Linked DNA regions of Oryzias latipes. The protein of the gene in region 3 interacts with the protein of the main gene of each other region in a pairwise test. Links are inferred from orthologs where the notes say so. Each region holds a gene or a part of one and is shown on either strand. Other genes may lie near its edges. The genes, in order: syntenin-1, znf276, zbtb8a, rad23a, rpl9, bysl and kat5.

Region 1 (4,153 bases), on a different chromosome or scaffold from region 3:
CTGGCTCATCATGAAATGCTGTTATGAAAGACTTAATTACGTTTTTCTTATTAAAAAAAAGACAGAAGATGCAAAAATACTAAGTAAAAGGCAAGAAAAATTTAGCTTAGACAGAACACGTTGTACCCAAAGTATTCATCATGTATACAGTCTATTTACTGATATAGTCATCTCACATGGCATGTGTTTACGATCCAAGTGCCCGACTCTTAGTTCTCTTCTTCTGCATAGCTTCCCGTTTCAGACAGGAGCTCAATGGTAGGAAATGATAGGGACGTTTGTGTCTCCAAACAGGTGCTGTTAAAGTAAAGGCGGATGTGTTTTACACAATGTGAGATCACGAGAAATGCCAGGTGAAGTTTGCATTCTCTTTTTATTACCATTTGCGTCAGCAGATCTTATTAGATAGAAACGTGCAGCTGTTAGATCAAGTTAATGCTGCTTTTTAGGAACCTTTTTATTTTATGTGAAAACGTTTCAAATCCTCCAAAATCCGCAAAGGAATCTCAACTGATCAGAATCTATCCACCAGTTCACACACAGAATGACACTGAAACAGCGCGGTCTAATCAGGAAAAATCATGTGACACATAGACAGGAAAAGACGCTGGAGCAGGACTTTTAACATGTCGGTTAAGACCAAAGAGGCCACCGTGCAGCACTAAGTCAATCATTATATCGATGTGCATTAGGAGGCTGATGTAAAGTATGGTTCTGAGATCAGAGTAGCTCTTCTGTGAGGCAGACTGTCAGCTTTGAAGAGCTGCTGCTTCAAGTGTGAAGATTAGAAACATCAGAGCTACAAAAACAGGTCCTACAATCCAGTTTATGTAGAGAGCATAAATCAAGCAACAGTTGGTTTTTTAACATCACTGAGGGCTCACTCCATTCTGCTCATCTCAGTCCTCCAGGACAAGTGCATCATTGTGTGTGTGTGGACACAGAGAGGCCTTTTTGTTAACCTTCCACTGTTTACTCTTCAGCTATGTGTTTGCTTGCTTTGTATGCCTCTCTCATACAGACTCTCTGGCTGAACATGAATACGCCTGGAAACAAAACAGCAGCATTTGAGCAACCCTTCAGATGACATAACAGGATCATTGAGACGTCTGCCACTGCGACGGAAAACAAGGCGCAGATCATTTTACTGAAATATACAAGAAGGAACCCTTTCTGAAGGAGGTTAAAAAAGTTTTTTTTATGGATTGTTAAGGTAAAGATTTCTGATGACGGAAAATATATATGAAGGTCACATTAACAAGTGAAGGTTAACATGACAAAAGAATTTTCTTTTGTTTCAGACTGTTAAATATGTGTGTACTGGTTTCCTGTTAGTTTTTTTAAAACAAATGTTTCATCTAACTTGCTTGCAAAAAAAAGTCAAGAAACTCAAAGTAGTGTTATATTAGGAGGAATGCCAAAGAAAGCTTGTGCAAAGGCTCAGACACACCAGGCCTGGCATGTGTTTGCTCCCATTCAACATATTTTGGTGTGAGCAGCCCATTCAGCAGAACTCGATCTAAAGCTTCTGCTTTATTCTGAAAATCTAGCAGATTATTCATTTACTGTTTTTTTTTTTTTTTTTATAAACTTTACTTCTACTTGAGTCTATAAATATAATGTCAAACTAACAAATTCCTTTAAAAACATGAACGGAAAACAAACAAATGAAAACATGTTAAAGCAGCCCTTAACTTCTAAGAATTATATTTGGTTTGGTTTAAGATGGACTCACCACACACTTAAAATAACCAAAAATGACAGGCTTAAATAATTAAAAAGGTTTAATTTATAAGTGATAGTTCATCCCTGTTCTTACCAGTGTTGTGCCTCAGTTCTTATAACAATTAGCTTATTTTTTTTCTTATTAACCATTAGCCAAACTTTTTGAGTGATCCACTTTGATTGGAAACTTGAGATATACATTTTTTTTATAGTTAGCCACTCTGATATAATTATTTTTCCTATTTTAAATGATATAAGCTTTAAATTTAAACTCTTATCCTATCAAAATAATACATTTTCACTGATCACCATTTATTTTGATAAAGGTACAGCCGGAAGAAACGAGAAACATGACTTATTAAGACTGGAAAGGGGGAAAAAATGCTGACGTCTTCGGGAATCAAGGAAAGAAAAAGGGGAAACTAAAGCAAAAGCATTCAAATTAATTGGCCCGCGTGCTCAAAACTGAGAACAGTTGTGTTGATCAGACACTAATCTCCACAAAGGCCGCTTTGGGTGGGTTTTTAAATAAGTTAACAACCCACAACACTATAAATAAATCAGCAGAATAATCAAATTCTTTATACTCTTGTGATGATGATATTTTAAAACAGACTCTCGTTTCGAGGCGAAGCTAACTTGAGACGCGCGAGATGTTCCTGAACGTTACCCGAAACTGTACACACATATAAGAAGCAGCATTGTTGATATAGAAAACATATATTTTTCACGTTCATAAATACAATAGCATGAGACTGAAGCGAGCGCGTGGATTAAAATAGAATAAAATTTGAAGAAGAAGGAGCTCAAAGAAGCGTCTTTGTTCCGGCATAAACAGCTAGAGGGAGGTTAGCTAACGGCGTTAGCATGTAGGTAAAAACAGAAATTCACCTCAGTTACAGCTACGTACGACAGATGGCCTCGCGGCGATACTTAAAAAAATTAAACATAGCTCACCTGTAGATGTGAATTTGTTTCAAAGTCCAAAAAAAGATGAGCACTCCGTTATTTTCTGCCTCTTCGGTCTTCTCGTCGCAGACACCTTAAGGGGACTTCTAGAAAGTGACGTCACTGTTGGCTTCCTGCTCCTGTGCACCATGTCAATCACAGCTGACGTTATAAGACACGCCCAGTTTCAGTCACATGACCCCTGACTCAGGCTGGTTTTATGAAGGTCTTGTGACTGAACTTCTGTGTGATATAAGGTCATAATAAGTGATACTTATATAAATTAATGTTAGAAGAGAATTGTGTTAATTTAGCTGATAAATTAAATTCCCAAATGATCTTTGACGTGTGTGTAACTGTTCAGTGTTAGGCTTTTCAAGAATGTCTCTGGAAAAAGTTTGTAGATGTTCCAAAATCCTCCATAACCTAGGGCATTAGAAGCATTTTTTATTCTCTTTCCATTTTCTTACATTTTTATACTGTTATAAACCAACATTAGTAATATTTTTTACATCAAATTTCTCCTGGTTTTATCTCAGATGTTGATGTTTGTTTATTACAGTTGTATGACATAGTCTGATTTTGCTGGAGGTTATTTATGAGTCATTCCTTCCGACTGTCACCTCATGCAGGCTTAGTAAAAAAAAAAAAAAAAACACCTTTTATGAGTTGATAGGAGCTCAGATTTGCACACGGTCTCATGGATAAATATTCTTTTTTTTTTTTTTAGGCGGATAAATCCATTTGTCAACCAGTTGATAATTGTTCTTTCTTATTAATGAAACTACACAGTTAAAGTTGGTATGCTCCAGTCAGCTACACTTTAAGCTCCTTAACTCTCCCCTCTGCACCCTTTGGGTGACTGTAGAGATTATTTATGTCTGAAACGTAGGAATAAAATGTCTTTATTGCATTTATGTATAATCAGTAAACATAACTGTTTAAAAAAAATATGTTTACTCTGTTTTTGTGAGCAACATTAACATCATTTTGATGTTCCAAAGGTTGTGGTCGTATTAATGTCTTCAAAGACCTGTGCTCTGCTTTTTCACATATACAGTGGGGCAAAAAAGTATTTGTTACTTATCAATCCTGCAAGTTGTCCCCCTTAAAACGATGAGAGGTCTGTAATGTTCATCATAGGTAAACTTACAACAATATTGCCTCTGGTGTCCTGAGACAGCTCTTAGGTATTGGTCGCGGAGACGTGTCTTTTACACAGGTAACCAATTTAAACTCGTGCCATCAATACAGACCACTGAAGGATGGAGGAGCTTCTTACCTTATATAACCATTCATATTATGTTAGATACCTGCATTTCTGAGAACCCTACCGCATTATCAAACTTTATTTAAAACCCATTGTATAGAACCTGGTCCATGTTTTTTGTTGTGGATCATCATTTCACCTTTTTCTGTTCATTTCCAATTGGCTGCTTCCATGAAATCTCAAAAACACTTGACAGGGATAATGTTGCTA
Region 2 (4,232 bases), on a different chromosome or scaffold from region 3:
CTGCTACATCACTTCCTAATCATCATTTGCCGCCACTGAATTTTGTCCAAAAGCTTTTGTCCTTTGACTTTGTCACCGACCAAGGGGATTGAAAGAGTCAGATAATATTTTAATATTCAGTGCCAACCAGAAGGGAAAGTTGAAAAACTCTGGGACTTTCAACGTGCTCTGTACCTGTGGGTGGCACCCTCTCATGGGGCTACAATTGTCTCTGATCCTGACAGGGTGTCAGTGGGACATCCAAGAGCAGGTTCTAGAACAGGTCTGGTCTATTGTTGTGTAACAAGCTGCATCACTTTTTGTTCTATAATTCAAGAGCAGCCTCCACAGGATACCACGGGGATGCGGTTGAATCCCTTCTCCAAATCCACGAAACACATATAGACTGGATGAGCGAACTCCCACAAACCCTCCAGCACCCTAAAGAGGGTGTAGAGCTGGTCCAGTATTGACAGCCTCACGCCAAAGTCATTGTCCTCTGCTTCCTCAAAAGAAAGCTTGTCAGTATGAAGATCCTCAAAGTATTCCTTCCACCGCCCCACAATGTCCCCAGTCGAAGTCAACAGCTCCCCACCTGCACTGAAAACGGTGCCTGCAGAGAACTGCTTTCCCCTTCGGAGGTGCCAGGCGGTTTGGCAGAATAATAAACCAAAATTAATAAACATAAAACAAGGATTTTAAAGTAGATTAAAAGAAAAGTAATAAAAGCAGGTTTTATTATTACTGTATTTAAAAAATTCACAAAAGTAGTTTTGTTTTACATTATAGTGTTGTGTGTTTACTGTTTTTAGTGTTAAAGCGCTTCGAGCTGCACAAAGTGCATGAGAAGCGCTATTTTATAAATAAAGTTTGATTTGATTTGATTTGATATAAACTGATTAAGGATTATCCTCCCACTCCTTTTCAAGTAATTCATTAAAGTGTTTTTCAAAAACTTCGCATTTAATATATCTTTTGTGTCATGTATCGTTTGTATAAGTACAAATATGTCTATTTATGATTTAAAGAAATTAAAATAGCATAATCTATATGTCTATGTGTGAAGTATACACATGGATAAGTATGTATTTTATTTTTTGTTTTCATTTAAATCCAGACTATTTTATTGTAACCCCTTTTTTTCTTTATTTTCATTTGTGTTTAAAATAAAGGAATTGAATTGAAAAGAAAAAAAAGTTCGATATATCAATGTATAGATTTATATCTCTTTTGTTTGTCCTCTTTCTTTAACAGATGAAATTAATTAATTCTAATTCCAAATGCCAAATTACTATTTGATAATTTGCTTTAAAAAAAGGCATTTATTCTGTAAAACGCATCAGGTTTAAGCATTGACCGTTCGGTTCGTTTGTCCACCTGCTCGTTAGGTGGCGCTGTTTGCTCCATGTTTCCGATTGTCCGTCTGGTTGCTCTTCCGGGGAACAATGTTTACAAACGAGCTGAGGCAGAATATGAGTATCTTATGAGACTGGATAAAACACGACATGCTGTTCGTGATATAGGATTTATGCACCTTTAAGGTAGGCTTCGCTTTTAGTTTGAATGCAGCTTCAGGAGTTTGTAGTTTTTCTGGAGTTAAAAAAACCTTCGGAGCAAGCTCAGTAAGAGTAAGAGGCTAACCGAGCTGGGCTAACGGGATGTTTTTGTATGCAATGCTAACTGTGTGTTCATGTCATCGACCCTTGTTGATGATTTTTTTTATTTTCTGTAAAAGAATAGCTTTACAGCATCGATTTATAGCATTTAATATAAGAAATAATAATTTGTGTTTAAAGGCTGTGAAAATAAAATATTTCCCAATGCTCAACGTGAATGTAAAACAAGTTAAGAACCATAGTATCATCATAGTGACGTGAGGTTTCTTTAGGGGTTGTGGGAGTAATTTATCATAAAAATTTTAAATGTAGTCATTTGAAATCTTAAAACATTAACCTTTAAGTTATAAAACCTTTCACTAAGTGTAATTATATTCATTTACTATAAAATAAAAAAAATATTAACAGATGCTGTAGTACTAGCAATCCTAATGAGCTAAGCCTTTTAATTTTATTTACATTTATTACATAACTATATGTGGCTTTCATTTGAACTCAAGCAGCAGATTTTCCATCATAAGAGCAGCTGCTGACAGTCCAGCCCTAAATAAAAGGCATGAAGAAGAAAAGCAGAAGCCCCAGATCGAAAGAGTCGCCATGGCTGCAGACGACGGGGGAAACAAACGAGAAGAAGAGGCCCACCGGCAGCAAAAGGAGACCCAGAAAAGGTCAAGCTGCCGCCGCAGACGGCTGTGACGGCGCAGAAACACATCAAACCGCCAGCACAAATTTCAGCGTGGCTGCTGACGAAGCACAGAAACATGCAGAGAGCATGTGCAGCTCTACAGGTGAGTCTCACAGAGGAGCTGGGGTTCACAGGTGCTGAAGATTTGCTCTTTCAGCTGGAAATGGCAGCCACTACTCGTGTGCCTCCTGTTGGCAGTTGTTGTTAATACTCATTTCTAAGTTTTAAAAAGATAGAATGTGGAAACTACGGTGGCCCTGAAGTGCAAATCAGATGAACAAATCTCCGAACGCAAAAACAAATCACGACAATTAAGAAATTAAAACAAAATTAAAGAAACCAAAACGTAAAAAAAGACCCCAAAAAAAATGTGGAAAATAAAAGTAATTTCCAGAAATCAAAAAGATGATAATGACCTTTGAGTTTGAAAAAAAAAAACTGTGTTAAAGAGTTGATTCACTTTTTCAGTGACTGTGGCCAGAAGTCTAAAGAAATCTCTTCTGTCTGAAGATATCATGACAAATAACTTCCTGTTGAAAAGGTGAACAAAGGTTATCATCCAATCAGTGATGTCATACCTGTATAATACCTACCTTTTCTGTTTTTTTTAGCCTTTTCTTTTTATTACTGGAAATTAGTTTCCCATGAACGTTTTTGTTTTCCTCATCTGAACTGGCATCTGGATCAAAGCTGTACAGCTGGATAGTTCCATTATTGATCGCCCTTTAATCTTAGGTTGGGGGTGTGAGGGGCTTTGGTGAGTGCGTGTCAACAGAGAGTAATGGGTGACGGGAAAGGGGGTGAGATTGCTCCTATTGAACTACTGCTGCTCTGCAGAAACGATGTCTTAGAAAAGGACACAGGTTATCTACAAAATATTTTCCAGGTGTAAGAAAAATCCCTTAAAGAACTTCAGGAGAATCTCAGTAATGCCGTTTAAAGCTGTAAATGTAATAGTTTTCTATCTACAGGCAGACTGTCTGCTGCCGTCTGTCGACTCTGCCATGGGAAGTTCTCCCCTCGCAGTCTGCGGAACGCCTTCAACAAGTTGCCTCAGGACTCCCCGGACACAGTTGGCGCTGCGACCCAGTCGCCCCTTCTGTTTCACTCAGACTTCCAGCGCTTGGTCGGGGTCCGCTTGGACCGGGACCCTCGGCTGTCGGAGTTTATCTGTAAAAAATGCCACGCCAAGTTCTACAAGTGCCACGGCATCCTGATCCGGTTCCTCCAGAGAGTAAACATCCCACCAGTTGGAAAGGAGAATCTAAAAATCCAGTGAGTCAGAACAAAAACCAAAGTTTAATGAGTCACTATTTAAACAAATCCAGAGCTATACACAAATATCTTTTTTGCATGTTATTCAGGAAGAATGCAAAGTGTCCAGAGTCAACAATGAACTACAGTTCCAAAAGTAAAGGAAAACATTTCTCTCTCTTCTTGGCTCTAACGGGTGAATTGTTCATTTACTCAAACTCATTTTCACTCTTTCAGCTCCATCTTCCTTCACCTCAGACCCAAAGTGCCTCCACAGCCTGGTGTCCTGGGCGCACCACCACGGGGAAGCCTGCCGCTTCTGCCCCGACCTGAAGGAGGTGCTGGAGGGCCAGTGTTGGGGCTCTGTTAAGGCTGTGTGGGGCTGCGTGGACGGTCACAGATACATCATGGACACTCGCTACACCCCTCCTCCATGCTTAAGCCGCGCAGAGAGCCTCAAAGGTGGAGATCTGGGGAGGGGCATCGGTGATGGAGAACTGTCGGGTGAGGAGCAGGATGACGAGGAGGAAAAACAACCTCCTGGGAATGGAAGGACGTCATTGGAAGATGTGAGCTCTCAGCGTCAGAGTGGTCTACCTGCAGCTGCAGTGCAGATGCAGAACTCTGCTCCGGATGAGTGGACTGGCAGCAGTGAAGGTGAGACCTGCATTTCAGAAAGTCCTCCGGCTGCACTAAAT
Region 3 (4,109 bases):
CCCGGTGGCAGAGACACTCTGGCGATGCAGCGCTAGACGTTTTTTATGCCTCGACTTTGATGTCCGACCATTCCTTCTTTATTTCGGCCACGGTCCGAGGTTGTGAGGCTACAGCATTTGGCGTCTGCCACCGTTTGCCACTCAAGTGCCTTTTTGGCATTAGTAATGCCCACACTGTGCCCTCCAAACAACATTTCCTCCTCTTTTCCACTTCACCAACGATAACTTCTACTTCACATTGAGTGAAGTTACGTTTTTTTTCATTTCCTCTCTGTGTTTGCCATGATTTCGCAATCCATGAATATTCATTTGTGGGCGTTTCGCGGACTATTTATGGGCAACTATGGGCGTGTCATGAAGCCGCAAAAGCTGCGCTGCATTTAGAATTGATTGTGATTTATTAAGGGAAAGATGCGTAGGATGTGCGTGCGCACGGTTTTATAAATCTGAATATTTCTGTGCGTACGCACGTCCTATGTTTCATCTGTACGCCACTTCTGACGCAAATCCTACGCAAAGTTTTATAAATGAGGCCCCAGGTTATGTTATGAGCATGAGTTGCCATGGCAACTTGACATACCCTGAAACATACCTCCATTTCTGGAACAGATTATCAACTTCCTTAGCCTCAAACTTACCGTGGGAGCTAGCATAACCTGCTTTCTGGAATACCCCCCAGGACTGCATATTCAGACTACGCCATGTTTGCAAATATATCATTTGTGGCCACAAATTAGTATTTTGTACACACAAATAAGCCTTTTGTGGTCACAAATTAGCATTTTGTGGATACAAATTAGTAATTTATGAGCATTTTGTAGTCACAACTTAGTATTTTAAAAGGCACGGGGGAAATGTACAGAGCTCTAAATGAAACAAAATTTTTACTCATTTAAAAAATTGTAACCATGAATTAGTATTTTGTGTAGACAAATGACCATTTTATTATTTTTTTACATTTTAGTACAAACAAATGAGTATTTCAGTATCTTCAAGTTCCAATACTAACTTGTGCCCAAAAAATACAAATTCATTGCCTCAAAATTCTAACTTGTGCGCACAAAATGCTAATTTGTGGGCCAAAAAAAATGCTACTTTGTGTGTAGAAAATACTAATTTATGGCCAAAAATTAATATTAGCAAATAAAATAGTATTTTAGCATCTTCAAGTTACATTACTAATTTGTGGCCACAAAATACAAATATTTGGCCACAAAATGCTAATTTCCCCCTTAAAACTCTTATTTGTCCCCATGAAATACTATTCTGTAGCCACTAAATGCTAATTTGTGCAAAAAAAAACTAAAAATACATGTGAGGGAACCATTTATTTATTTTTGTAATGTCATTTCCAAGGCTCCGTTATTTCGTGGCCACAAATGAATATTTAACTATAATTTTGTAGGAAAAACTAGTGGCCAAAAATTAGTGTGCACAAATTTGTGTACACTAATTGGCATAATGTGTGCACAAATGTGTATTTATTGCACAGAAATTTGTATTTTAAAGCCATATTTTGTTAGCATTTTGTGCACACATGTATTTTTCCCACAGAATGTTGTTTTTGTAGGCCACAAATTAGTAGAAGGAACTGATCCTCAAATTTGTGCACAAAATATAAATTTGCGGGTTCAGGGCTCCATAGAAATGTCAGTAATTAAGTAGCTATTAAAAAACAAGCATAAGATGTCCTAAAGTTCTACTCTGGCAGCATCTTTGTGCAGTGGATCATGTTGAAGGAAGACCGGCCCACCGTTCTGCGCTCTGATTGGCTGGGTGATCCATCAATCAGGAAATGCTTTATAATGGATTACACCCGACTCTATCAGGAAGGGCGGGTAACAAACCCTTTATTTAACCCTGTTGGTTAAATGAATGATGAATCAAATATACTGTACAGTTATAAATAAAGATTTCTGCAGCTAATAGAAGCCATTAAAAAAAACAACGAAAGGCATACTAATAATTTGCCTAAAGCTCATATTTGAAAGACAGACTACTTTATAAAAACCCAGCAAGTCATTTTTCCTGTCTGGACTGACTTGATGGATTTAAATGCGTCCTTCATTATCGCGATACGCCTCGAAAAGCTCCGCAGCGCCCGATAACCCTCGGCGAAACACCCGCCTGAAACACTCCGGTACTTCAAATCACACTCAGAACCGAGTCTCGTGTGTTAATCGAGCAATTTCCCCTTCGTTCGGCCGCGCGCGACCTCCAAACGGACACGAGAACGCTGCAGTCCTACGAGAGGAAAGCGGGTAGCGGCGATCCGGAGCAGCCCCGTCTGTCCTGGAGCGACGCCCACTTCAGGCTCCAGCCAGCACACAATGGAAAAAAAAGAAAAAAGAAAAGACACCGACCTCCTCCAGCGGCGAAGCACGCCGCGAGCTCAGATAAACATGTCCACACCACGAATCAGTTTGATGAAACAAACGCCCGTTTCCATCCGCGAGAGGCGCCCCCACTCCTCTCCGGAGGTCCGGAGCACAGCGAGCAGCTTTCGCCTGCTGCCCGGAGCGAGCGACGCCTTCGCAGGCGCGAGGTGTCGGCAAGGACCCGCTGACGCCCTGATATATATACCCCGTCAGAAAAGCATCGATACTCACTGGTGACTGGATTCACCCGCCGCCCGGCACACTCTACTTGCCCCTGCATCTACCTCTATATCCATTTTTTTTATTTAAATGATTATTTGTGCCTTTTCTGACCCTCCCCCTCCGCTTTTTATTTCTCCCCGTCCAGGGTCCACAGCCAGGCACTTCCTGCTCAGCCCTAAAGACCGAAACCCGGTCAGAGAGACTGGAGCTCCGTGCTGACGTGGGTGTTTATTAACAGGGTGCCCGAGGGTTCAGGGAGCCATTTAAAGCCCCAGTGCCTTTTTACAGGAACAGCACGTACCTCAGCCTAAAAACGACCATACCCACTCGAGATCACGCAGGAATTCATGCTCACCTTACCATGATTTCCTCCAGTATCCTCTTATTACAACATATTTCTTTCTCCATCCGTATGAAAAAAAAAAAACCCCACAAAAAATAAAAAAATACAGCACCAATAATCTTAAAGAATATGTCCTTAGGGGTTTTTCCAATTAATACATTTCAAAAGAAAGCACAATTTTACTGTTAGAAAATTATTTTATTCATCATTTTTATGGCTTCCATAATTATAAAGTTAAGAAAAGAATCCCTGCTGTTCAGAAACAACCAAATAAAGACAAAAAATCTGTTGAATAGATTTTAGTTACAAATTCCAAAAATAATAGAAAGAAATTCAAATTTGAGGCCTTATGTTGCATTTATGACATGACAAAAAAATAGTATCTGCTTTGGTGGATTAACACAAAATAATCAATAACACCCCCCAGCATTCATCAAGAGCTGGTGCTCTTGGAAAATCCAGTGGGGTTCATGGACTGCCAGCGCCACAGATCTGCACCTGAATGCAAATGAGGAAGAAAAAATAAAGATGGCACAGATTATTGAAAAATGATCGCAGCTAATTGAATGTATTTTCTGCAGATTATCAGACTGCACGGTGTGATGGAGCCATTGACTGTATATGAGAACTGGACTGAGGTACCCATCCCTGCTTGGGTTCTAAACAGGAAGTACCTGCTGACTCCAAGAAGCCATAGACTTCTATAGTAAAATAAAGTAGCTATTACTCAGTCATTATATCTGGCAGAATAACCATTTTTGCCCTAAAACCTTTTTTTAACATGTTCTTGCTAATCCTATTTTTTCTGTAGTTATTTAAGTTTTAAACTGGGCAATCAGATGACTCAGAGGTCTCAGATTGAACGTTTGATTGACAGATTCTCCCGAGCCCACTTTCAAGTGGTAGGGGTGTGGCCTCTCAACAAGCTTTCTCCTGATTGGCCAGAATGGTTTGCCATAGAAATGATCACTCAGATCGACTCGGACCATCACTGCTTACTGATGTTATCTGGCTCCAACGTGCCAGTGTCCGTGTCACGAAAAATTGAATCAACCTTTTTTCACTGGAGCCAGAAGTAAGTCACTTTCTATGAGTGACGTCACACTCCGTCCAGTTTTAATTTAGAGTCAATAAGTGGAGCTTACACATCCTCTCCATGTCAAATT
Region 4 (4,150 bases), on a different chromosome or scaffold from region 3:
GATCCAATTTTTAACAATTTGACACACAAATCATGTTCAAAGTGCTCAATTCTGTCTTTTAAAATCACTTCCTAAACTCTTTTATGCAGCAGATACCCAAAGAATCCCTTTCTCCTAGGTTTTCATTGACACACGTTGACACCAAAGTCCTTTCGTTTGAACCAGTTTGTGTTGGTCGTGTGATAGTGGCATTAAAGTCTGCTGTGCAGAAAAAAGGCCCTCCAGGTGTGAATGCAGATATCCACTGTGCCTGAATCAGGAGGAAATAAACAAAGAGTGAGTTAATATTATACCCAATGATGAATAAAAGAAGTTTACAGCACGATGAAGTTTATGGTTATGTGGCTCCTTCTAATGCAAAGTTTAAGTAAATGCGTGTTTTGGGCGTCTCGCATCACGCATAGCTATAGGTTTTTGTGTTCAAAACTTGCGACCATTGACTGTGTGTGATGAAAGGTTAACCAGGTCAAACTTTGACCAATCAGGGACTCGGATTTGGTAGTGATTTGGCGTTGTAAACGTCGCTTCAGACTCAAAGACCCACCCCAATGAAAGTGGGGTTTTTAAATTGTTCTTGTGGCATTTTTCGGACAATGGAGAACACATATAAAGAAAATTCAGCTTCAAATTGGGGGGGATCCCGAGCACAGCTGTGTCACCGCTCCCCCAGGGGATGGGTCAGAACATGATGTGTATAAAAGTTTTGTGAATCTGGAACAGACAAAAAAAATGCCATCTTAGAAAGCTTGTAGCTGTGACACGGATACTTGTGACCTAGAAAATACACTGGGCGGGGCCACAAACTCACTGCTTTGCTGCATTTTGATGCATCCGCCTGTAGACCAGATCCATGTAGGCTACATCTTTGTTTTACTCGTCCGAGCTGGCGTCTGGCTCAAAGCCGGTCAGCACCAATATTTGTTGCACTGATAATGTTAGGTTGTGTGGGGCTGTAAGCTAGCAGGAGAGCATGTAAACAGAAGGGTGATGGGAAGGGGGGCCTGGGTAGCTCCGCACCAGAAGTGTTTCCTACAAACTTAGAGGTGAATTTTTAATGAACTGCTGCTGCTTTGCAGGAACTACGTCCACGAAATCAACACAGGTTTTTGAATTTTTTTGTCTAAAAACAGCATAATCGTCACTAAAAGACCACCAGGAACGCTTTGAAAATAGATCAAAAGATGATCAAAGTGGGACTTTGAGTCTCACAGGCACTTAACATGATCAGAATGTATTTCTATATAGTTAAAAAGTTATAAGTCTTGTGATTTCTGTGCGCGTGTGTTTGTCTTGCTTGTTTTCTAAAGCTTTTGTGCTGCTGGCCCTCTCGTGGTTTCTCGCGATATCTCACAGCCTCCAAGCAGGAGTGCCCGTAACTTGTCACCAAAGATGGCGATTTGCTGAGTGCTCATGGATACACACATTTCTCGGCTAGTTGTTATCTTACTCAAAACGCGAACCTGAGACACAGACTGACTTTTTTTTCCTTTAGTGCGCCGCTCTTTTTCCAGTTTGAAGCACACCGGACGCCGCCATGCAGATCACTCTGAAAACGCTGCAGCAGCAGACGATTCAGATTGAAATAGACCCCGAACAAACGGTAAGTGGCTAACAGCTAACTGCGTTAGCTTCCAGCACCGGAGTTGTCTTTTAGCTCCGCGTGCACACCCGACAGCTCCATAGAGCAGGTACAGTGAAAGGAACTAACTTTTATCACATCGAATTAATTTCTGAATTGTGTGAACATTTAAGCCACACAAAAAATGCTTAAAATTAAGAACACACCTGTTCCTTTACGCGCTGAAGCTACCTCGCTAAGCTAGGTTTCAAGCTAATGTTGCTAAAATTAACAGAGTCATTGGGCCGCCACCTGAAAGCTGGTTGTCACTAGTTGAAGTTGCTGACAGAGGATTGTTGCGGCCTTTTTGGCTGTGAATATATGAGGTAAAACCACCAACATGTGTGAATCAGAGACGCTCAGTCAGTGCGCTGGTGGTGACGAAGGATGATGCGCGTGCTCTAAATGCTCATCATGACACTGCCAATCACGCCTAGCTCCTGATAGATAGCCCAGCTCTGGAAGCCTAGATGGATTGGGTTAACTTCTACTGTTTAGATGTCTAACAAAAGTAAAATACACGCTGGTGCTCCAGATTTGGCCTTTTTCGCATGGAGGCGGCTGGGGTGTGGCTTTCAGGTGTTGAGGATAGGCTGCCTCCGGGTAGTCCGACCATCATGTCTGCCCTCTTGTGTGTCAGGTCAAGGCCTTGAAGGAGAAGATAGAGGCTGAACGAGGAAAAGACAACTTTCCTGTTTCTGGGCAGAAGCTGATATACGCCGGGAAAATCTTGCAAGACGATACGCCAATCAAAGACTACAAAATCGATGAGAAGAATTTTGTTGTAGTGATGGTATCCAAGGTGAGACTGCATGGTCCAGCTTTTTATCTTTTTTTATGTGTGCAGCGGACTCGCGTCTGGATGCAGTTCCTCTGACGTTTTCATTTGTTTTCTGAACACGTTAGGCTAAGCCTGCAGCCACGACCTCGGCACCAGCCCCGGAAGCCCCCAAGCCCCCCGCACAGGACTCTGGCTCCACATCAACCGCTGCCCCGCCTTCAAATCCTCCTGCTGCACCCACCCCTGCAGCTGTCCCTATTCCTCCTGAGGAGGCCAAACAGGAGCAAAGTGCCGAAGCCACAGAACCACAGCAGCCCGCCAGGTAACAGGCGTACCGCCACGCTCGCCGGTGTCAGCTGGTAGAAAAGGGAGACGAAATGGGGAAAGAAGTCACTTAAATCTGAGCGGGTTTGTACGATGACTTAGCATTTAATTCAGCAGAATGCAGTGAGTTCGGCTGTTGTTTTCTTTATAAACAAAACAAAAACAAACATCATTTTGTTGTTTTGCGGGATTCAGACACTGACGTCTCCATCATAGTTACAATGACTTTGCAAATCATTTACAAGATTTTCATAATATCCTTAACTTTTGTATCACATTTTTTACTTAAATCGACAATTAGATTTAAAGGAAGTGACTATTTCACCGTAATTAGGGCAGGGCTTATGGTTACAGGTAAGGTTAGGGTTCAAATACGTGCAGCAATGTGTATTTGGGCCACATGGTTTTCGTGTGATCCACATGTTTTTCCATCAGTTTTTGTGCTGGTTGCACGTAAACGCCTGCGAATAACATCGACCATATTTAAAACAATTACCGTAATTTCCGAACTATAAGCCGCTACTTTTTTCCTGCGCTTACAGCCGTGCGGCTTATTCAGTGACGAGGCTAATTTATGGTTTTATTTGGCGGCCGCCATGTACGTACTTTCGGACACAGTGAATGGTTAGAATTCTCTATCTAACACCAAGGGCAAGTCATTTGTTTTTCAATACACGTCTAGGCAGCCAAACAGCATGGACCTAACTTCAGGTCTTAGACACTTCAGTCATGGTTCCACAAACGAAACACGCATGCCCAGCCGCATCCCAGAATCCTTTGGTGCCATTAGACCCAACGTGCACGTGATCGCCACTGCAATATGATGAAGCTTTCAAGTTAAAAGCAATCGTTAGAAGCAGCGTGAAAAAATCCACCATCACACTTACTCTGGGAGGCAGGACGTGATTTGTCAGGATGACAATGTTGCCTAATACATGCGGCTTGTACTCCGACGCGGCTTGTGTATGTAGAAAAGTAGTTAAACACGTGAAAATGGGTGGGTGCGGCTTGTAATTGGGTGCGCTTTGTAGTCCGGAATTTACGGTACTTTTCCGGAACTTATTTCAGTGAAATGAACATCTGTCCAATTTTTTAATCTACATAAAAACACTTTTACTGTATAGATTTATTTACTTCGGGGGACAGAAGCGCTTAAAGTTCGTTTAGTTTCTAAACGTAAAATCCAACATTATTCAGTAAATTTAGAGGGATGTCCTGATCGGGGTTATTTTTTCCAGTCCAATGCGAAACGACTCAGTCGGCCTGATTTCTGCTCACGTGATCAGATCTGGACATCACTAATAACTTCTCTGCTGTTAAACAGGGGCCTCCAAAGTTTTCAGAGTAGGAGGCTTCTAGGAGGGAAAGCAGGAGGCTACCACCCGGGCGGTGAAAGCAGGAGGGGTTGATTGAGTGGAGGCTAAACT
Region 5 (4,198 bases), on a different chromosome or scaffold from region 3:
AAGATAGAACCAAGCCATATGATAAACTGCTAAAGAAAGAGTTTAAAAAACCAAAAGAAACGTACCAGAGTTTGAAACCAACTCAATGTCATTACCCTCCAGGACGAGTTCATCCTTCTGGGCAGCAGACACTGCACACATCACACCTGGAAGAAGAACATAGTAGTTTGAAGACACCGTGACACACTGATATGAAAAACCAAGAAATCTCAACGCGTCACCGTAACCTCAGAGAAATCTACTTCTGCAGGTAAAAGTGACATAAGTCAATGAAAAACGGGATTCCAGCAACAGCTTTGCTCTGAACAACCTTTGTGTGACTTTATAGTGATTCACAGATGAAGCACAAAGCAAAACCTCCACGAGTAGTTTACCTTTGTAAAGCTTACGAGCCAATAGGTCAATTTATGATTTATTCATTATAATTGAATTATTTGCATATGGATGTATGCATATGTATATACATCTTCTAATCATTTTATAACTAATTATCCCAAGTTTCATATCTTTCTCTCTCTCTCTATATATATAATTGGTCTTCACAGTAAATCGCAAATTTATCTTTATCACAATATCAAGCTGCAGCGAAAATTGCAATAAATGGCTACCTTGAATGTGCTAAAACACTCCTATGGCAGCTTGAAGTATTTAACGTATCAAATAAATCAATTTCTGCATTTGACCAATCAGATGGACGGCTTCACGTTGTTGACCAATCAGATGGAGCTCTTCTGTTAGATGCTCACTTCCTATGTAGACGAGGGTCATTTGGAGGGTGATTTAAGTAATGTTGACTCTTATTGAAATGAAATTGTTGTAGTAAAGAGGAAATTATGTTTTCGGTTGTTTTGCTATTTGTTCATGTATCTTAAGTTTGAATTTGTTTTGATTACTTGAAATAAACGATATCCAACTCCAGCTCAAGACTGAAAAGGATGTCCTAAAGCAAGTTTCATGACTAAAGAGGGCAGCATAAAGGCAACATTTTAATGTTCCCCTAAAATATACCAAATAATGATCCATCTCACACAGATATAAAAGGTAAAAGTAAATAAATAAAAATTATTAATAAAAAACGAAAAACTGAAAATAAGTCTACCAAATGTGCTTTGAGTTATGGCAGTTATTTCCCAATCATAACATACAAACTTACATTCAAGACAGAAGAAAGTAAACATAACAAGGTTAAGGAAATACTAATGCATGCGTCTTTTTATGCTCTTTGCCAACTGAACAATATTCCAGACTCACCAGCCCTCATTCTGACCCGGCGGATGTACTTCTCTCCCAGGAAGTTCCTGATCTCCACCAGCTGTCCATTTTCCTGAATGACCACGTTGATGGGGAAATGGGCGTACACAGAACGCATTTTATACCGGAAACCCTGCATTCAAACAAAATAAAACTGTTTTAGACGAAAGCAGGGTAACCACCAAACAAAAGTCAATCAGGTCTTTCCCAAAGACCAGGCTGTGCTCTGCTGGAAAGACGCCTCACCAAAGTGACGCCTTTGATCATGTTCTGAACATGGCTGCAGATAGTACGGACTGTGGCCAGCTCCTTCCTGTTTCCCCACCATTTATCCACACGAAGCTGAGGATGAAAACAAGCTTTGTTTGTTTGAAATCACTTCCAGATTACATCCAAGACTTTATCTTGAAAGAAAAGATCGACTATCGACAACTGAGATCATGTAAAATATTTCACTTTAAAAGAGAAAAAACAGCGCACAATTAAACAATTCTACCATATTTCATGTAAGCAACACATGGTGGAATTTACCTTAAAACAATGATTAATCAATTGCCCAATTTTCTTGTATTTGTTGTAATTTGATCAGGTTTATTAATGTTTCAAATGTACACATTTTGTCGTTTTTGTTTCCAGGCCTGATGTAAACAACAGCGGTTTCCATTTCTACTCGGTGAGTTCTAACCCATTTCTTACCTTCTTCTGTTTTTTGCCGAGTAGGCTGAGATCCAGATTGATGTGGTTGAACTCCCTGGTGAGCTTGCCACGGGGCCCCTTCACAATCACAGTGCGCCCCTTTAGCCTCACCTCGACTGCAAAACGCAGAAAGGAACAGTCAACAACCAGACTCCCCCGCCCGGATGATGATCACAAACTCCAGGTGGGTCAAGTTTCTCACCATTGTCAGGGAGGTCCACAGTCTGGCTGCTGAGAATGGTCTTCATTCTGACGAAAACCAAAAATAGTTTCAATGATTAGCTTTAAAGTAAAGGCTGGTGGTTTCTATTCAAATGTTTGTCTGAACTAGTGTGTACTGTTGGTACAGTACAACTCAGCTGTGCTTAGGTCAATCAATGTAGCCGCACTACGTTGACATATGCTAGCTATAATAAAGCTAACGGGCTACAGTACAGGGACATAAACGACTTTTAAATGGAAACTCCGGTGTAAGTATTTTCTCATGCCCAGAAACTTGGTGACCCGCATGCGCTAAATAGTCAAACACTACTGTGTCCACCGTTGTTTAGCCGTTAGTACCAATTCGGGGCTAGGCCTTAGAGTCAGTCTGCTAAAAAAAAGATGTGTGCATATCTTTCTTTACGCTTGCAATGGAGTGAAAATTCCTGTGATATTATGAAAATCAGTATTTTAAGCGACTTTATACTTAAAAAATTTTCGAAACCAACTTTTAATCAACGAAGATGAAGTTAGATTACACTCTGGCGACAAATTCTAGACATCCTCACCTCGCCGGTAGCAGAGGAAAGGAAGCCGGATGGACGTCACGACGTAATTGTAGCGCACGCACGTCCCCAGACATTACGTATCGATCAACAGATTGATCAAAATAGAATTTTACATCCATATGAAGGCCAAACGAAAACAACGTGGTTTAGATTGTAAAATATGGTTACATTTGACGTTTGTATTAAGTCATCGCTTTATATTATTTTATTTAGATACGCTCAGACAATCTAAAATTATAGAACGCAATCTCATATTTACATTTTGATATAAAAAATAACCACTAGCAAAAGCTAAAATTTCATTTAATAAAAATAATTGAACTTGAAGTCAATATTCTCAATGTGTGCCGGAAAAACTTAGTTTTCCGAGTGAAACCAATCACGCGAATGCAGCACCAGACATGGTAGTCGATTACCGATCTGTGTTGCTTACGACAGTTGTATGCTAGCTAAACAAAGTCATGGCGTTACTTAAACAAAGTTGCTGTATTGCAGGCCGCTTCTCCACAAATCACATATGGTTGAGTCCTAGTAGATCCATTCCACATGTGAGTATTTCTCATGACTGTTCGCATCCCTATCACGTTTTTAATCACAAATCTTTGTGGTTTTGAAACTTACTAGTTTGTTGTATGTTAACTCTCAAGGGCAATAACGTGTTTGTAAAAAAAAAAAAAAAAAAAAAAAAAAAAAAAAAAAAACACAGCGAAACAATGTGTGCTTTTTGTTTCTTTTTTTTCCTGCAGATTTCTACAAACAGTCTGGCAACCACAGCCAGATCCCCCTTAGAGCCGGTTGACCGGAAGAAGGCGCTTCAGAGCGACGATGGTCCTGATCTCCAGGACTTCATTTCAGGAGATCTGGCGGAGAAATCCAAGTGGGCAGATTATAAAGGACATCTGAAGAGGCAGAAGGGAGAGAGGTAACATAACTCTTAGACAAAACAGGGCTTTCAAATTTGACTGCAGATAGTGTGTTGAAATTTTCTTAATGTGGAGTTTTATAAATAAATGAGCCTAGTTTTTAGTCATCTAAAGTGAAGACATACATTCTTTGTTTGCATACTCTTATCTTTTCTACATAGCCTGTTATTTCACAACTTGTTGCTGTTTCTGTATTTAAAAAAACAAACTTTCTCTGATTCCTTTCAGGCTGAGGCTTCCCCCGTGGCTGAAGACGGAGATCCCCATTGGAAAAAACTACAACCAGCTGAAGAACACCCTGAGAGATCTCAACCTGCACACAGTATGTGTTATGGTTATAGATTGTTCATATGCTGGAAGTGTCTAAAACCTCTGTTTACCAGATCTCAACATGAAATTTGACCATCAAATACGGATGATAATTGAGTTTTTCTTTGAGAATTTTAGGCTTTTAGTTGATCATCATTTGTAGTTTTTTTAGTTGATCTTCTTTTGGGGGGGCGACATGAGGGATGCAACGATTCCCTTCCCCACAATTCAGTTCAAACCTTGAAGTTT
Region 6 (4,050 bases), on a different chromosome or scaffold from region 3:
GTCCCTTGGCGTTCTGGAAATGACTTTTTAACTTGGACATGAGGACGTCAAAGTTAGCATCAGCTACTAAGTAGGGTCCTCCTTCGAATAGGGCCATGCAGCTCAGAGGGGTTTCAGAGTTATGCATCACGTATAAGAGCTTGGAGGGCTGACCTGTGACAGACGGGAAACACTGGATGATGCATTCAACTCAATAATACATAAACTCCACATCCATGATTCAAATAAAGGCACATCTGTTATTGATGTAAAAAAGGTTTTTAAAGTCTAAAACCTTAAACAATATTTGGTTTTATAGTAAGGCTTTGAGATGGTTTCTACCATAAAAGGCCAGAGCCATTAAAGTGCAGCTGAAGGGGTGATCTGTCGTCACACTCCAGTAGAACTAATAGGACCCTTATCTAATTTGTAAAATATTCTCAAGATAATTTGACAAACACACATAAGATAAAGTGGCTATGTATGCTTAATTGTGTCCCATATTTACTGCAGATGTGTCTGAAGGAAGAATTAGCAAAAGCCCTGAATGTTCTTGTTAAAAATGCTACCAATTAAATGCAAGGGCACAAACGGAGCTCATATGCCAATCACCTTTTTTTAATTGCTTTTTAAAGGTCTAAGCAACCACAACTAATTACCACATGAATAAATAACTACTAATATGTTTCCCGCGTGATGCTTGAAAAAGTAGCGAGCTTACCGACAACGTTTCCCGTGGCGTGGTATGTCTCACAATCCACGCAGAAGCTGCCTTGTTTCACAGAACCGAGCTGCTCCAGCTTTTTTTGCAGGACGTCCACGGTCTGCTGCACACTCTTGCCCTCCGCTATGGGCACCTGACAAACACTGAAAGACAAAACACCCGACTGAGCAGCGACAACCCAACGCATCCATGAAGGGGAGGAGCACGCTTTCCCCAAAAGAACAAACATTTGAAATAGACAGGTCCTATAAACATAGCGAAACCAAACTATGTTGAAATAATAATTACACTTTAATGAGCCAAAATATTCCTTACCAAGTTACTCCCATTTTTGTTTTGCCTCCTTCGCAACTACTTCCGGTTAAACAAATTGACTTCCGGTAAAGGAAAAAATAAAATAAAAATACAAGTGAACATAGACGAATTGAGTTAAACTGATTAACTCAGTTAATAAACATAGGTTCTTTCATATATAATGTTTCGAAACATTTTTAATGAAACCGGATGTGACGTAATGTATTTCCGCTGCCTCTGTCGCGCATGCCGTTTGTCCGCACGTGCTAAACAGCTGGGTGTTTACACACTAAAAAGGCATAGACAGGCTTTAGCTTGTAAATTTTTTTGGAGCTGTAGCGATGCCGAAAGTGAAGAAATCTAAAGGTGGAGGAGAAAAGAGCTCTGGATCCGTGGCGCTGGCTGACCAGATCCTGCAGACGGACACGGTCCGAGCCCGCAACCGGGTTAAGAGCAGAGACCAGCGGCCAGAAAGCGACGACACCTACGTAGACGAGCGGCTGTCGCGGAAAATCCTACAGCAAGCCCGAATTCAGCAAGAGGAGCTTCAGACCGAATATGGGCTGGTACCGGAGAAGAAGAAGGCGACACCGGTCACTGTTCTTGGTAATGTTGGATCAGAACCAGGACATCCGCTTCAGTTTAGAAAATGATCAAACAGAAGCCGTTGATTAAGGTTTCTAAAGGTTCTCTCTTGTTCTAGTTTTTCTTACCGAAGAAAACGATGACCAACTTTAGTAAAGTTGCATCACAGATTCATCACAATTCAGACCCATCTACCCTTAACAAAGACAAGTACACTTGAAGTTTACTTAAGGATACTTGAGTAATAAGTGTGTAGTAGTGTACAAGTATAGACCATGTACGTGTAGTGTAGGACATATAGTAACTGAATACTTTTTCAGACTTTTATTGGAAAATTTTAAATGTATATAAAAAGAAAATTCTAGTTTACTGCTTTACTTTTAGTATAGACAGTATACTTGTAGTTTACTTAAATAGACTACTTTTTGCTAAGGGATGCACTAATGCTATGACTTAAAAATAAAGTTAACTGTTCACTAATGATGGTTTTAGTAAACACTCCAAATTAAAATACTTTCAGTAAATAAATACTTAAAAATAGAAGTAATAATGTTTTCATTTACTCGTTTCTGTAGTTAGTTGGGTGATTCCATACATCTAGATCTGCATCTTTTCATTATGTGAGTTCTAAACACTCCTGTAACTGTAGGTCCTGAATCTGGGGATGCAGACTCGGATGAAGAGTGGCCCGCACTGGGAGAAGCAGTTTCTGGGGCGGCAGAAACCGAATGTGATGCTGAAATTATTGTAGACCCAGAAGACGAAAAGGCCATTGAGATGTTCATGAATAAAAACCCACCAATGAGGCAAGAAACATGGCAGTTCTGACTAACCAACAACAACAAACAGAAACCACCAGGCCAGTTTCTTCTGTCCCTACTAACATGTTTCTCTTTCTCGTAGGAGGACCCTGGCAGACATAATCATGGAGAAAATCACTGAGAAGCAGACCGAAGTGGGGACGGTGATGTCGGAGGTGTCAGGGCGCCCCATGCCTCAGCTGGACCCCAGAATTACAGAGGTTTATAGAGGTGTGGGAAAGGTGAGCTTTCTTATATTATTGAAGACATAAGCCGCGGTTACATGCGCAAAATATCTGGATCGGATTAAAATCCAACCGTGTACATGGGATCAGAAAACCTTTTTCCGATTAGAACAAACGTTCACATGGGTCACACTTTCGGTTGGAATAAATCATTTGAGCATGAGCAGTAGTGTTGAAAATACCGAAAGAGGAAATGGGTCCCACAGTAAACAAACCGAGCTGCCACATACATTCATGCAGCAGCTCGGTAATATACAAGACGATCTTCTAAACGTGCTTTTATCAATGTTATGAATATTATGAAGCGCCTGTTCGCTCATCATTTTAATTTTAATCCGTGTGGTCAGTGCTTTTTTTTGTGGAAGAACCCTGGAGAGGCTAACACACGCGCTAACAACATTAGCCTTTTTTGATGAACACAAACACTCCCCTCAAACACAAAGTTATGAATCCGGCTGCTCTGCTCAGAGACACAGTTCGCTCCGTCCACCGGCACCCGAGCCCGGACCACGCAGGGTCCAGACGTCACGGGGCACGAAGCGCTCCCCCTCGCAGCCCCCTCGTGAGGGGTGTAAGAGAGGGGAGAGGTGAAGAGCCAGCAGGGCGAGAGCAGAGCGGCGGTTCTCACCGGTCCTCCGCAGAGCAGCCGGTTGGTCCTGTTTGCGCTCCAAAGCTTTCTCTGGAGCGATACACCGTCTATGCGTGACGTTAAACCAGAGCAGTAGTGACACGATCGGAATGAACTGTTTACATGTAACACGATTGGATCAACAATCGGCATAACCCACCTATCTCGATCGGAAAGACATTTTGATCCAAACGAGTCTGATCAGGGCAGAGTATTCTGAACGGTGTGTTTACATGACACATTTTCCTTCCGATTCAGGTGTTCTTTCCAATTACTTTTGCCCATGTAAACACAGCTACTATAACACGGTGTTGTACAGTCTGATGGCTGTGGGGAGGAATGACCTGCGGTAGCGCTCCTTCTTACACTGAGGGTGCAACAGTCTGATGCTGAAGGAGCTGGTCAGCGCTTCTACAGTTTGGTGCAGGGGGTGGGAGGGGTTATCCATGATGGATGTTAGCTTAGCTTAACAAACACAGCCCACAATGGCACTGTCCTCTGAGAACTTCTGCAGGTGACAGTGGTGGGAGTTGTAGGTGAAGTCCGATGTGTACAGGGTGAACAGGTGTGGGGAGAGCACAGTCCCTTGAGGTGCCCCCGTGCTGCAGACCACCACATCAGACACACAGCCTCACAAACTGTGGTCTGTTTGTGAGGTAGTTGATGGTCCAAGCAACCAGATGTTGGTCCACACCTGCAACCTCCAGCTTCCTCCTCAGCAGTGATGGCTGGATGGTGTTGAAAGCACTGGAGAAATCAAAAAAACATGACTCTCACAGGGCTCCCAGGGGACTC
Region 7 (3,977 bases), on a different chromosome or scaffold from region 3:
ACTATCTTCATTTCATAAACAGATGTTACTTGCTTGGTCCATGATTTATAAACATAATTTTTCTCCTCACAGGTTTTACATTTGACACAATAGATATATTCTTTACAAAAACAAAACTATCTTTATCCAACAGTGGTTTGATAATAATATCAGACTAGTTAGTCAATTATTCAATCAACAAGGTCAACTTTACACTTACACCGAATTCCTTCAGTTCTACCAGATCCCTGTTTCTATGAAGGACTTTTCGGTTGTTTTTGATGCCGTTTCCCTCAACCTCACCTATCTTTATAAAGGAACTCCTACTCCATCTGCTCCCCAACCACAGCTTCATGTGACAGACACTGCTGTCGGAAAACTCTGCTTCTCTGCTTTGAGAAATCAAAACAAAACCATCCGAAGACTGTTCCAGCAGGAGCTCAAAACTGAATCCCCGGCCATAACTTTCTGGACTTCACTTCATGGTCAAATGTGTTGGGAAAAGGTTTGGCTTCTGCCAAACAAATATCTTCTAAACAACAAAGTGAAAGAGGTTTCATTCAAGATCATTCATAGGTTTTATCCAACAAATCAGTATATGCAAAGGCTAAAAAGGGATATTGATAAAAACTGTTTTTTCTGTTCTCAGTCTGAGGAAACGTTGGTGCATATTTTTTGGACCTGCAAGTACACTGAAAAAATATGGGACAAAATGACAAATTTGATAAAAACTCAAATTTATCCACATTTTAATTTAACCTGGAAAAACATCTTATTTGGTTACATTAATTATGATAAGACATTTTTATCTCAATTTTATTTAATAAATCTTCTAATTTTATTAACCAAGTATTATATTCACAAATCTAAATTCAGCAATAAAGCTCCTAATTTTCTTGATTTACTAGCCCAAGTTAGATGTTACTTACATTCCATTTCCCCCAGTACAAACAAAAAAGCTATTAAAACGTATCACCTTGCTCAGCTGTATAATTTAGTGTAAGTTTATTTTTTTGCTTGCATATCCCCTGGCGTTTATTTTGAACATTTGATGTACAGCTTATTGTTCCTTGTTCTTTTGCTGTATGTCACTTTTGTTCTGCATCAATAAAAAAAAAAAAAAAAAAATTTCCGGGTTGGCTCCATAACTTCCGCTTAGCGACGCATGCTCAGTCTCACTGCGTTTTACGTCTTTGATGTGGACCGGCATTTTCCCACAACACACTGCAGCAGCTTACACCAACGACGAAAATGGCGGACAACTGTTCTTCGGTAGGTTATGGAAACGTATATTATTGTTTTTAAAAATAACAGCTACTATTGGATACTAACATCTGCTGTTTTATCAACAGGTCGAAATTGTGGAAGGCTGTCGCCTCCCCGTTCTTCGTAAAAACCAGGAACATGAGGATGAGTGGCGTAAGTACTTTTCGTTCGTGCTTAGAGCTAAGCTAATGCTAACTAACAAACAAATATGACGGCCTTCAAAAAAACCTTAAAAACAAATTCAGATAAAATGCAGTGACTGCTATGGTAGAAACTGTTCGTTTAGGTCTAAATTGCTTTGTTACTTCTTTATTTGTGTTTTTGGGCTGGAAATCATTTAGTCGCAATGTTTAAACACTAGAAATTTAGATAAGTCTGAATTACATTTTGCTTTTCAAAAGCCCTACATTTTAAATTACGAATTTAAAAAAAGGTTGAGTTTCATACGCAAGGATTGTATAAATTGTGATAATTCACTGCTGTCCAGTACAGTTCATCATGTAGACATGAGAGCTGAAGTTAAAGATGACAATGTTTTTTCTTAAAAGAGCATAAGTTCATCTAGTTTGTTGAATTCCTGAGGTAGTTCCAAGCTATTTAAATCAAAGTACTAGCTTTGTTACACATCATCAGTGTGATTAAAGTAAGCAATACCCATTTTTATCTTGGCGCTAAAAAGCAAAACCACTCTTGCACTAATTATAACTGTGAATGTTCATTTTCCACTTGAATTAAGATAAAATAGCTGTGTGTTTACTTTGTAAATAGTATTTATAATTTCTTTTCTACTTGTGCAGCTTTGGCTGAGATCCTGAGTTTGAAGGAGGTTTCTGGAAGAAAGCTGTTCTATGTTCACTACATTGACTGTGAGTAAAGCAAAGTTCATCTTTCCTGTTTCACTATCATTAAAGAAAGCTTAGACTTTTCATTCATGTCATTGTTTCAGAAAAAACAAAAGTGATTCCAAACACATAAAGAACGTTCTAGTTTCGGTCGTGTTTCATATGGACGGAAAAAAATAATCTTTTCATAACAGTTGGTCTTTTAGTTGGTAATGTAAAATTGTGTGTGTCTGCAGTCAACAAGCGCTTGGATGAATGGGTCACAGCAGACAGGCTGGACATGAAGAAGCTCCAGTTTCCCAAAAAAGAAGCAAAAACACCCACAAAGAATGGACTGTCAGGCTCGCGTCCTAGCTCACCAGAAAGAGCAGAAAGAGAAGTAGTACCAGTAAGTTTACCCTTGAAGATTCATAATAAAGCATTAGTAAACTACATTTAAATGTTTACGGCAGTTCCCCAACAGTACTGTTGGAAAACAGTTGGTTGTGAAAGACTATTTTCATTGACTGCTTAGTTTCCATCTTATTGAAGTTGAGTTTTTTTTTGATAAAAAATTGAATCTACAGGTTTTTTTTCCAGTCACAAAAACAAAACATACTTGCATACTTGCCAGGCTTGTTTTTAGGACCTTTTTTTTTTTTATCATAATCTGTTTCTGTTTTATGAGTGTTGTCAAGCACTACATATATATAGTGTATATATATAGTTATATATAGTTGGAAAGTTTTGTCTGTATGCTGTTAAGTCTGGTTTTCTTTTGAAAATGTGTCTTTGCTCACTATTTCAAGGGCCACACACAATCACAACAAAAGCATGAACGGCAAAAGCATGAATGGCATCTCTGGGTTTTTTGTAAGTCAGTTGGTAAAGCAGCTTCTGCAGTCTCCTGCTCATTCTGTCTGATGAAAAACAGACAGACCAGGTTTATGTCGACACTCAGCAATGTCGGTCATCTGCAACATATTTGGGTTAGGTGTTTTGCAGACAAAATCCTTCTTGAACAGCATGCATTGACAATAGTTGCTGCCCTGTTTCTCTTCTAAATGACACAGGCTATAAACTTAAGTAGATTAGAATTCTTCCTTTAGCTTCAAAGCAGAGAAACAAAATGGTTAAAAATCAAATTCAACAAAGCAAATGTTCAAGATTTATTTGATGCTTTACTCAAGATGCCTCTGATACAAATATAACTAAAATTGGAATAAAATGATATTGTTGAATCAATTGTTACTTAAAAAAATGAATAGTTCTCATAATTAAATGGATAAATAACGCCCCGTAGAGTTGATATTGACTCTCTCCTTAAAACTCAACCCTCACACTTTATTTGAGCTGTGGACTCTCTTTAAAGTTTGAAATTTTGCCAGTTAAAGTTTAATGTTATTATAATTTCAGGGGGGGGTTGTCTCTAAATTACCTAAATCACTGCGCTGTCTGCTTTCTCTTCAAACTGTGCTCTGTGAGGTGACTGCATAACAGTGAGGATTCATGTTTCAGTCCATGTTTCAGACTTATTTTCTAGAACCAAAGTATGGTGGCACCGGAGAGCTATCCCTAAAACTGAGACTCAGTTTGGTCAAAGTTGTCTGTCTGAGAGCACAAGGAGTAGCAAACAGATGTTGGGGCTGACGGGGCAAAATGCAACAGCACAGCACTCTGCAATATTCATGTTAATTACTATAATATTTTATAATTTATTCATGTAAATGCTGTGCCTAAAAAAGAACATATTTTAATATTCTTTACTGTTTTATTTCCTGAATAAGTTATTAAACTGCTGAAGCAGTGTGTGGAAAAACTTGGTAAGACCATAACTTTCTAGAAATGAGAAGAATCTTTAAGTAGCAGCCAGTTTGGGTTTGCTTGAGCATCTGGTTACCAACAGGTGTT

Evidence for each region.
Region 1: the proteins of zbtb8a (region 3) and syntenin-1 interact in binary tests that used the Homo sapiens proteins (3 or more experiments, as listed by UniProt). The two-hybrid records come from large-scale screens. The link is inferred for Oryzias latipes from reciprocal best matches to the Homo sapiens genes ZBTB8A and SDCBP.
Region 2: the proteins of zbtb8a (region 3) and znf276 interact in binary tests that used the Homo sapiens proteins (3 or more experiments, as listed by UniProt). The two-hybrid records come from large-scale screens. The link is inferred for Oryzias latipes from reciprocal best matches to the Homo sapiens genes ZBTB8A and ZNF276.
Region 4: the proteins of zbtb8a (region 3) and rad23a interact in binary tests that used the Homo sapiens proteins (3 or more experiments, as listed by UniProt). The two-hybrid records come from large-scale screens. The link is inferred for Oryzias latipes from reciprocal best matches to the Homo sapiens genes ZBTB8A and RAD23A.
Region 5: the proteins of zbtb8a (region 3) and rpl9 interact in binary tests that used the Homo sapiens proteins (3 or more experiments, as listed by UniProt). The two-hybrid records come from large-scale screens. The link is inferred for Oryzias latipes from reciprocal best matches to the Homo sapiens genes ZBTB8A and RPL9.
Region 6: the proteins of zbtb8a (region 3) and bysl interact in binary tests that used the Homo sapiens proteins (3 or more experiments, as listed by UniProt). The two-hybrid records come from large-scale screens. The link is inferred for Oryzias latipes from reciprocal best matches to the Homo sapiens genes ZBTB8A and BYSL.
Region 7: the proteins of zbtb8a (region 3) and kat5 interact in binary tests that used the Homo sapiens proteins (3 or more experiments, as listed by UniProt). The link is inferred for Oryzias latipes from reciprocal best matches to the Homo sapiens genes ZBTB8A and KAT5.

What each region holds. Positions count from the first base shown.
Region 1 is NC_019865.2:5,716,928-5,721,080, forward strand, and holds the start of syntenin-1, read right to left. Parts: upstream 2,851-4,153; 5' UTR 2,683-2,850; intron 1-2,682. UniProt on the Homo sapiens protein: Multifunctional adapter protein involved in diverse array of functions including trafficking of transmembrane proteins, neuro and immunomodulation, exosome biogenesis, and tumorigenesis.
Region 2 is NC_019864.2:27,733,592-27,737,823, reverse strand, and holds the start of znf276 (zinc finger protein 276), read left to right. Parts: upstream 1-1,388; 5' UTR 1,389-1,520; intron 1,521-2,095; 5' UTR 2,096-2,151; coding exon 2,152-2,383; intron 2,384-3,251; coding exon 3,252-3,555; intron 3,556-3,644; coding exon 3,645-3,691; intron 3,692-3,771; coding exon 3,772-4,191; intron 4,192-4,232. UniProt on the Homo sapiens protein: May be involved in transcriptional regulation.
Region 3 is NC_019880.2:16,761,539-16,765,647, reverse strand, and holds the start of zbtb8a (zinc finger and BTB domain-containing protein 8A), read right to left. Parts: upstream 2,808-4,109; 5' UTR 2,675-2,807; coding exon 2,610-2,674; intron 2,595-2,609; exon of another isoform or gene 2,364-2,594; intron 1-2,363. Other genes in the region: gale (UDP-glucose 4-epimerase), read right to left, coding at 3,377-3,441, 4,089-4,109. UniProt on the Homo sapiens protein: May be involved in transcriptional regulation.
Region 4 is NC_019866.2:22,942,519-22,946,668, reverse strand, and holds the start of rad23a (UV excision repair protein RAD23 homolog A), read left to right. Parts: upstream 1-1,349; 5' UTR 1,350-1,534; coding exon 1,535-1,600; intron 1,601-2,258; coding exon 2,259-2,420; intron 2,421-2,524; coding exon 2,525-2,721; intron 2,722-4,150. UniProt on the Homo sapiens protein: Multiubiquitin chain receptor involved in modulation of proteasomal degradation. Binds to 'Lys-48'-linked polyubiquitin chains in a length-dependent manner and with a lower affinity to 'Lys-63'-linked polyubiquitin chains.
Region 5 is NC_019859.2:13,029,370-13,033,567, forward strand, and holds the start of rpl9 (60S ribosomal protein L9), read right to left. Parts: upstream 2,807-4,198; 5' UTR 2,792-2,806; coding exon 2,718-2,791; exon of another isoform or gene 2,658-2,717; intron 2,197-2,657; coding exon 2,150-2,196; intron 2,064-2,149; coding exon 1,948-2,063; intron 1,594-1,947; coding exon 1,498-1,593; intron 1,385-1,497; coding exon 1,252-1,384; intron 147-1,251; coding exon 66-146; intron 1-65. Other genes in the region: lias (lipoyl synthase, mitochondrial), read left to right, coding at 3,179-3,265, 3,464-3,639, 3,869-3,962.
Region 6 is NC_019863.2:2,276,663-2,280,712, reverse strand, and holds the start of bysl (bystin), read left to right. Parts: upstream 1-1,229; 5' UTR 1,230-1,338; coding exon 1,339-1,603; intron 1,604-2,231; coding exon 2,232-2,388; intron 2,389-2,485; coding exon 2,486-2,624; intron 2,625-4,050. Other genes in the region: med20 (mediator of RNA polymerase II transcription subunit 20), read right to left, coding at 1-153, 701-846, 1,019-1,032. UniProt on the Homo sapiens protein: Required for processing of 20S pre-rRNA precursor and biogenesis of 40S ribosomal subunits. May be required for trophinin-dependent regulation of cell adhesion during implantation of human embryos.
Region 7 is NC_019872.2:15,161,996-15,165,972, reverse strand, and holds the start of kat5 (histone acetyltransferase KAT5), read left to right. Parts: upstream 1-1,131; 5' UTR 1,132-1,230; coding exon 1,231-1,251; intron 1,252-1,331; coding exon 1,332-1,398; intron 1,399-2,042; coding exon 2,043-2,111; intron 2,112-2,323; coding exon 2,324-2,475; intron 2,476-3,977. UniProt on the Homo sapiens protein: Catalytic subunit of the NuA4 histone acetyltransferase complex, a multiprotein complex involved in transcriptional activation of select genes principally by acetylation of nucleosomal histones H2A and H4.